Linked DNA regions of Struthio camelus. The protein of the gene in region 1 purifies or fractionates together with the protein of each later gene. This does not show direct contact. Links are inferred from orthologs where the notes say so. Each region holds a gene or a part of one and is shown on either strand. Other genes may lie near its edges.

Region 1 (3,902 bases):
ATCTCTGGGGCAGTAGTCACTGACCCCACTATGGGCTGACTGTTCCTTAATTCAAAACGACTGTACCATAATGCCAGCTCTGGAATGAATGTGTTTCATTAGCAGATATGTTTGCATTAGCAGATACTCATCTTCCTTAGCATTCTGGCACTTAGGGTTATGGCTAGGGGTTACCTCCCTTTTTTTTCCGACCTCATGTTCCCTCTCTCTTGAAGGCAAGGCTGTTTCCCAGCATCCTGCTGCACAGAGGAGAGATCTGTGGCTGTCAAGACCCTGAGTGCATCTCTCCCCTACCCCCTCCTCCTCTCACCACCATCGTGTTTGTCTGCCAGGGCTTACAGCCAATTTTTGTATGCAACTTTCTGGTCTTGAAAAGCTTCAGTGAGTGCTTGCCCCTCTTTCTCTCCCAAGCTGCTTTAAAACTCAGGCTCTAGCCCTTGGTGTCTGCCTGAGCTATGCTGCAGGTATGCCTGTCTGTACCGTCCCTGATCCTCTCCCACTAACATGACTTTCTGGCTTGAGCTACCATGTCACTACAGGCTTGCCTGGCTTAACTGTTGATGGACCTGCTCTGCTCTGCTCTGCCCTTTTTTGGAGCCCTGAACTTTATCTGCTAGAAGGGGAACTATGCAGCAAACGGGACTTTGGCCCGAGAACGTCATTCTGTGGGTGCACCTGGCAGAACACAGAGTCGGTGCAGCGGTGCTCCTCCTCAGAGGTGTCCTTCGTCGGAGGTGCAGTTGCCATGGTACTGGGAACTCATGCTGCAGCATCTCAACAGAGGAGCAGCTCGGTAAGGGCTCTGGAGCCACACTGCAGCGTGCTGCTCTGTAGAGGTACCGTAACCATGGCAGTGCAAACCTCTGCAGAGAGGTGTGAATCACACAACAGTTCAGCACCGGTGCTGGGAGCTGCAGCGTGACAAGGCGTGCGGTTCTTCACGGTATTTGTAGCTGCAGCACGGCAAGATTTCATGGCAGAGCTGGCTGTAGTACGGAAACCCTCGTGTAGGCTTTCCAAAAGAAGTTTCAGTTGCAGCGCAGTCCTGGGATGAAAAGTGTGTAGCTCACCACCTCCCAAAGCACAGCATACAGGATGCTAGAGATACCCAGGTACTAGGCTCCTACTTTCTCCCGCATGCCCAGAGAAAGTGCAACAAGACCCACAGATGAGTGGTACCTCCACCCCCACAGAGGGCTTGGCCGGGCAGCTAGGACAGCGAGCCCATTTCAGGAGAAGGCCGCAGCGGGCAAGTTTACTGCCAAGCAAATGGCCAATTTACCGCCAACGCTGGTACATGTTCGTGGCTCTCGCTTTCCCTCCCTCCTTCCCTCGCCCTTTCCGACCAGGTTCTCGCTGCCCGCCGCGCTCAGCGCCCGCGGCCCCGCCCCAGCGGCCCCGCCCCAGAGGCCCCGCCCCAACGGGCCGCGCCTCGCGCCCCCGCCCGCCCCCTCCGCCCTTCCCGCCGGCTGCGCGCGCAGAGCGGCTCCCAGCCGGGGCGGGAGCTGGCGCGGCCGGCGTGCGCATGCGCGGCGGCGGCGGCGGCGGCGGCGGAGGAGGAAGCGGGCCGAGGGGTGGGGGCAGGCGGGACGCGTCGGCATGGCGGAGGCGCGGCCCAGCGCAGGTGAGCGCGCCCGCGCTGCTCGGGGGCAGCCGGCGAAGCGGCCGGTGGGGCCGCTCCCCTGCGCCCCGCTGCGATGCGGTGGGGCGAGGGGCCGAGCCGCGGGGTGGTGGGGGGCGCCGGGGCTGCGCGCGGCACCACCTGTTAGCGGCGCCCCGGCCCCGGCCGGCCGCGGCTCTGCGGGGCCGCTGGGGCGCCAAGCGGCTGAGGCGCGGCGTGCGCCCGGGAAACTCGGGCTGAGAGAAACGTGCGCGTTTGTAGCGTGTAACGCGCAGGCGGGAACGCCGGAAAATACCGAGGCTCCGCCGGTCTGGAGAACTCACTGCCGCCTCCCTCTCCGTCCCGTCCCCCCCCGCCCCGGCGGCGCAGCTCGCCCGGCGGTGGGGTGACCCGCCCCACGGCCGCGGGCTCCTGTGTAACTGCGCTGCCTGCGGCGCTGGCGCCCGGGAGCGACAGTCGCGGTGGCTGCTGCCCGGCGGCTCGGCGGTGCCCTCCGTGGCGCGCAGGGCACCGGCAGAGCGGGTGCCGCCTGCCCAGAGCGGATGCGGTCGAGGGCTGGAGGGTGAGGAGGGGCCGAGGTGTCCAGCCCGGGGTGCCACTGAGCACCGCAGGCGGGGCAAAGGAGGTTTTTTTGGTTTTGCTTGCTGGTTCCTTAGGGTGGGGGTGACCTTCGTTTTACTGGGTGCAGCTGCAGAGCGGGAGGTTCCAGCCTCACATCTCATGACTTCTCGTGCGTTACGGGCACGAAGAACCCTTGTGCGGTTATGTCTTGGGTGTGTAACTGGAAGTGACATGGTTGCCTGAAGTGACTCATGATGTTTAGTGTTTTCATCATATCTCCTGGTTTTTCTTGCAGTCCAGGTGGACTTCTCAGATAATCAGTGTCACTTTGCATTCACTCGCTGGGCTGATTCATTTCGTTGTTGGTATGGCTATTAGGTTTCTTGCAGAAAGAGTTCTGGACTTTTGCGGTGGGGGGAGGAGAAGGCGAGATGCAGCTCTGCTTTGGGCAGCATTGTGAAGTTAATTCAGCTTAAGGATATCATTAAGCTGTGTCCTGTATAGACTCCCCTGTCTCTTCTTTGATCTTAGCAGCCAGGCTATGAAAAAGTGAAAGTCATTGGAGGTCATTTTTGGTAGGACAAGAATGGGACCGTAGCTTTCTTGGGGGAAGTGGAATAGCCTGGGACGTCGATCAGAGAAAAGACTGATAGTTTCAGTAAAGAGGAGCTGGTGCAGGCAGCTGTCTGCTTTGTCTGTTTATCTTCCATGCTGTCAGGCTGTGAGTCAGCTCCGATCCTGAAGCCTTTTATGCAGTGCACAGGCACTGGTAGAAAGAGCCTTAAATAGGTAAACAGAGCTTTACTGAAAAATTAGTCTGGTTAGTACACCCTTGCTACATCTTGCTTTATAACGCACAAGCTAGCACAAGTATCACCACATGGCATTAAATTATGGAATTTACTCCTTGTTATGGTAGTATATAAAATAAAATGTTATGCAGGCCTGTCTCTTAGGTAAGTTTGAATCTGTGCTTGTGCTATGTTAGGGTTGGGACTAGCTTTTGCCCTTCAAATTCATGGACAGAGCGGGTTTATGATTTTGAGAGCCTCAGCATGAAAGATATTTCTGGTCACAGAATAGGTAAGGGGAAGCGGTTGAGATCTAAGAATGGCTGTTTTGGACCATTGCAGATGTACAGCTTGTCCAGGATATTTTGCTAATAGTGTAATAGCTATTGATACCCAAGAGAAGAATAAGAGAAATACGGCAATTACAGAATTATTATTCACCTAGGTATACCTTTCCAGCCTGGTACATTTAGAGGGGACACCCCAAGTGAGAGGCTATATTTGCATTTAACAGCTGCGAGTTGACCTTTCTTCTGTCAGTTGTTGTTGCTTCTGAATGTGGTTATGGTTTTTTTCCTCCACAGTGCTGTTAGTAACTGGGTTCTGTGTTTCGCATGCAATGCAGCATTGGGCATGATGCATGAAGGTATCGGGGAGCTGCTGTAAAGCACTGACCGCCCTACTGCAAGGATGAGCAGGAAAAGGAAGATGCGTGTTACATTTAGTTTCCTTATGCAAAATCCATTCTGTAGTAGGTACTTCATGTCCAGCTGATGAAGCTACTTCTGGTGAATCTGTATTTCTTATCCATACCTCATATTTCTCTGATGTCCTCTTGAAATGGGCTTGCCAAAACTTCATGCTTTATTCACATTATAGGTGTGCTGGATTTGGACAGTAACATGATGATGGTTCTGTTTGTTATTCCT
Region 2 (3,902 bases), on another chromosome or scaffold:
ATGAGTGACGTTCCATCAGCTGGAGATGAATCAATTATTTAACACCCTCAAATAAAAGTATGCAGGTTTTGCTGGGTTAAAAAAGCTACTCCTTTCATCTCTTCCCATGAAATACACTGCGCTCCCCAAATCATCTTTGTAGTTCTCCTCTGCACTTACTCCATTTCATCATCCTTGAGTGTGGATAACCACAATTATACACACTGCTCCGGAGGAAGGTTCATCAGCGCTCTCTGTAATGGGGTAGAGCTTCTCTGATGCATCCTAGACTCACCCTTGTCTTTTTCATGTTTTCTGACCATGCGATGGACTCATCCTATGACCCATCTCCCACCAGCTAACTTTGCTAGCCAGCTACTTTAATTCCTCCACATTTGCCCTCCTGAACCGAGGGCCATCGTTTCAAACTTCCTCTCGCCAACCTTCCACTGAAGTTGAAACAATCCGCAGTCATCCGATCCAACGTTATTTTTTGTGACTCCGCAGGTGAAGAGAAGGTTGGACAAAACCAAACCTGAGAGATCACGCCCTTTTCTTGGTTCAGGATGAAGCAACTTGTCAGCTATCGCATTCAGAAGTATCCGAGCCTTACCGCAAGCGGCAGCGTTCGCTCTCCGGTCTACAGCTGGGCAGCTGCAACTGCCTAACAACAAAATTCCCAGTTGTGTTTCTAGTAACATTAGAGAGATCATTATTCATTGCCAAATCTGCTGCTGGTAGCCTAGAATAAACTCATAACACAACTGTGGCGCAACCATTGGGGGGAATTATTTCAATCTGAGCCGACCCAAACTGCTGTACCTATTTCTTCGCTGTCTACCACATCGTGACCATTTAATGCTGGCGTACAACCTTTATTCCTGCGACGCCTCCGACGGGAACCGACGGCGTTTGCTTTCACCCCATTTATTAGTCATACAACAAGAGGCCTTACATGCCCCGGTAGTTCACATTCCCCTATTTTCTTGCAGAGGCTCTGGGCGTCTGCCCCCCCCGGCACGGGCAGGGCCGAGCCGCGGCGGGTGCCCTCGGCGCCCCCCCGGGAGCCGCCGCCGGCGGGCAGCAAGCAGGGCCCGGCCGTCTGCGCCGGGCAGCCGGGACGGAGCCCGGGGGGGGGAAGGGGAAGGGGGGCAGGAAGCGGCAGTGCGCGGAGTGGGCCGGGCCGGGCCACCTCCGCGCCACCGCGGCGCGGCCCCTTTAAGCGCCCCCCGCGCCGCCGGGCGTTGCATCAGGCACGTGCGCGCGGCCGGCCGGTCGGGCGGCGGGCGGGGGCGCGCCCCGCCCCTCCCCGCCCCTCCGCTCCCTTCCCTTTCCCTCCGCTCGCCGGTGGCGCGCGCGCGCGTGCGCGCGGGCCGGGGCGGGCCGGGCCGGGGCGGCGCGCGCCCCCGCGGCAGTCGCGTGGTCCCCGCGCGTCTCCATATTGCTGCGGCTGCCTCGGCGGCACGGGGGGGGGGAGGGCGGGCGGCGGCGCGGCTCGGGGGGCGCCGTGAGCGAGGGGAGTTCCCCGGCGGGGCGGGGGCGCGCAGATGGCGACGCAGGTGGAGGCGCTGCTGCCCGGCGCCCCGCTGCTGCCCGCCGAGGAGCGCGCCCTGGTGCTGAAGCCGCCGCAGGACGGCGGCCGGGAGAAGGGCGAGCCGCCCATGGGCCCCGACGGCGGCCCCGCGGCGCCGCGGCCGCCCAGCGCCAAGCAGCAGAAGGAGGAGAGCAACAACCAGGAGAAGGAGAGCCTGCTGCGGGCGGGCGGCGGCGCCGAGGCGGAGGAGGGCGGCGAGCCGGGCGGCGCGGGGCGCCGGGAGTTCATCGAGGCCCCGCCGCCCAAGGTGAACCCGTGGACGAAGAACGCCCCCGCGGCCGTGCTGACGGTGAACGGGCAGTCGCCTCCAGGTGGGTGCCGCGGCCGCCGGGGGGGGGGGGAGAGGAGGAGGAAGGGGGGGGGAGCTGCGCCGCCGACCCCACCCCGCCCCGGCCGCCCGCCCGCGCCATGCGGCACGGCGTGGGGACGGCGCGGCCCGCGGCGCCGGGGCGGGGGGCGCCCCGCGTGTCAGCCCGGTGGCCGGCGTGTGTGCGTGCGGGGTGGGGGGAGCGCCGCTCCCGGGAAGTAGGAAGCGTTGGAGCCTGCCGTAGCCATGAGGCGCGCGGAGCGTGGGCGAGGGGGAGGGGAGCGCGGCGCGGCCCGGGCAGTGGCCATGCGGCTCCGAGGCCGGGGGCAGGGGCGGCGGGGCCGGGGGGGGGCGGGAGGGAGCTGAGGGCTCGGCGGCGCCGCGGCGAACGTTACGGGGCCGCGGCGCCAGCGGCCCGGCCGCGTTCCGAACGTTCCGAGCGCCGGCGCGTGTGCGCGCGCGCGTGAGCGCGTGTGTGTCTGTGTCTGTGCGCGCGCGCGCCGCGGCGGCGGCGGCGGCCTCCCCTTCCCAGCATTCCGCCGCAGCGCAGGCAACGTGGTTGCTTCCCCGGCTCGCTGCGAGCATGTGATTTCCCCCGAGTGCGCGGCGGGGCCTCCCTGCTGCGCTCCCCGCCCCGGGAGGCGGCGGCGGGGCCCGGCCCGGCTCGGCTCGGCCCGGCCCGCGGCGCCCATGTGCTCGGCGCCCTGCCCACGTGTGCGCCCCCCCCCTCCCCCCCGCGGCCGCGCCTAGGCCGCGGCGGCGCCTTTCTCTGCCGATTCATGGCCGCGGGTGGGCCGGGGGTGGCCGCGGCTCTGCCCTTCCGCGCCGGCTGGCGTGAGCGCTGCAGGGCGGCTTAAAAGCTGCTCTGTAGCAGTGCCCGCTGCGGCGCTGTCATGGTATCGGGGCCTTCCTCGCGGCGCTGGGCCGCTTCGGGCAGCGTTCAGCGGGAGCGAGTCAAAGCGGTACGGGACAAACGGTGCGTTTGTAGTCCGCCGCTGTTTTAAGCGGAGGCTGAATTTGCAGAACACCATTTCCTTGTTAGTTGAGTAGATGTCATTTTTACCGAGAGGGATTGCCTAGCACCGACTCACTCCACATGGGTGCGAGAGGAAAACACGGAAGTTTTCGGTGAACATCTTGTTTGGGAAAGACTCTTAATTTTTCCAGTCAGCCTCTGTAAACACGAAATAACACTGCCAGATATGACGTCAGATTTCTCGTTACTGTATGTGCTAGCGTTTTGCAAGAACTGAGACTAACATGATGATTCATTGGAGGTACTGGTTTTTGGAAGATGGACAGCTCTGTGATTTCCACCTGGAAAGCTGTCATCTTACATGGGGAAAATAGAGGATACGTTAATTGTGCCAAGTGAAAGTCTGTTCAGGTAGGTTTTTGGTCTGTCATCGTATGCAATGATGTAAGCATAACTTAACAAAACCTAGAGCAGTTTGCTGTTTACGTTTGCCTCTTGGTGCGTGACATAAAGCCGGTGACGTTACTCCTTTACGCAAAAGTGAGGCTGCATCACGCTGCTTTCTGGAGTAACGTTCCCTAGAAATAAACCAAAAGGTTCAAAAATGCTGTATAATACAGGATGCTGAGGAGTTGAGGGCTGGTGTCTTTCCGGTTCTGTTTATTCCATACGTCATCATGGCGTGTCTCATCTACATCTACAACATCTACTGAGTTACAGTATCTTTTTTGTTTCTCACTGTTAAAATTACATATTTCTATTTAACATTAGGTAAATACAGATGTGCTCTCTGTGTCCCTTTCTACCTTTCTGTCTTGTATGTTCCTATTTGAGGCTTTAACGCTCATGTTTAAAGCTCATAGAGGACAGCATTCTGTTACCAGGCCCCTTGCAAAGCTGGGAGAACGCGGCGATAGAGGCTGAATGAACGGTAGGAGCTCTGTCAAACGCTGAGTTGAAGAGGAGGGGGTCTTTGCGACTTAGGAGGCGATTTTTAAGGGGAGCATGTGTGCCTTACGGTGAGGTAAGGAAATAATCTCGCAACA

The links.
Region 2: the proteins of NFX1 (region 1) and LARP1 purify together in Homo sapiens (affinity purification with mass spectrometry, with the first as the bait; 3 studies listed by BioGRID). This does not show direct contact. The link is inferred for Struthio camelus from reciprocal best matches to the Homo sapiens genes NFX1 and LARP1.

What each region holds. Positions count from the first base shown.
Region 1 is NC_090943.1:78,972,089-78,975,990, reverse strand, and holds the start of NFX1 (transcriptional repressor NF-X1), read left to right. Parts: upstream 1-1,529; 5' UTR 1,530-1,599; coding exon 1,600-1,624; intron 1,625-3,902. UniProt on the Homo sapiens protein: Binds to the X-box motif of MHC class II genes and represses their expression. May play an important role in regulating the duration of an inflammatory response by limiting the period in which MHC class II molecules are induced by interferon-gamma.
Region 2 is NC_090954.1:12,071,571-12,075,472, reverse strand, and holds the start of LARP1 (la-related protein 1), read left to right. Parts: upstream 1-1,511; 5' UTR 1,512-1,526; coding exon 1,527-1,884; intron 1,885-3,172; exon of another isoform or gene 3,173-3,267; intron 3,268-3,902. UniProt on the Homo sapiens protein: RNA-binding protein that regulates the translation of specific target mRNA species downstream of the mTORC1 complex, in function of growth signals and nutrient availability.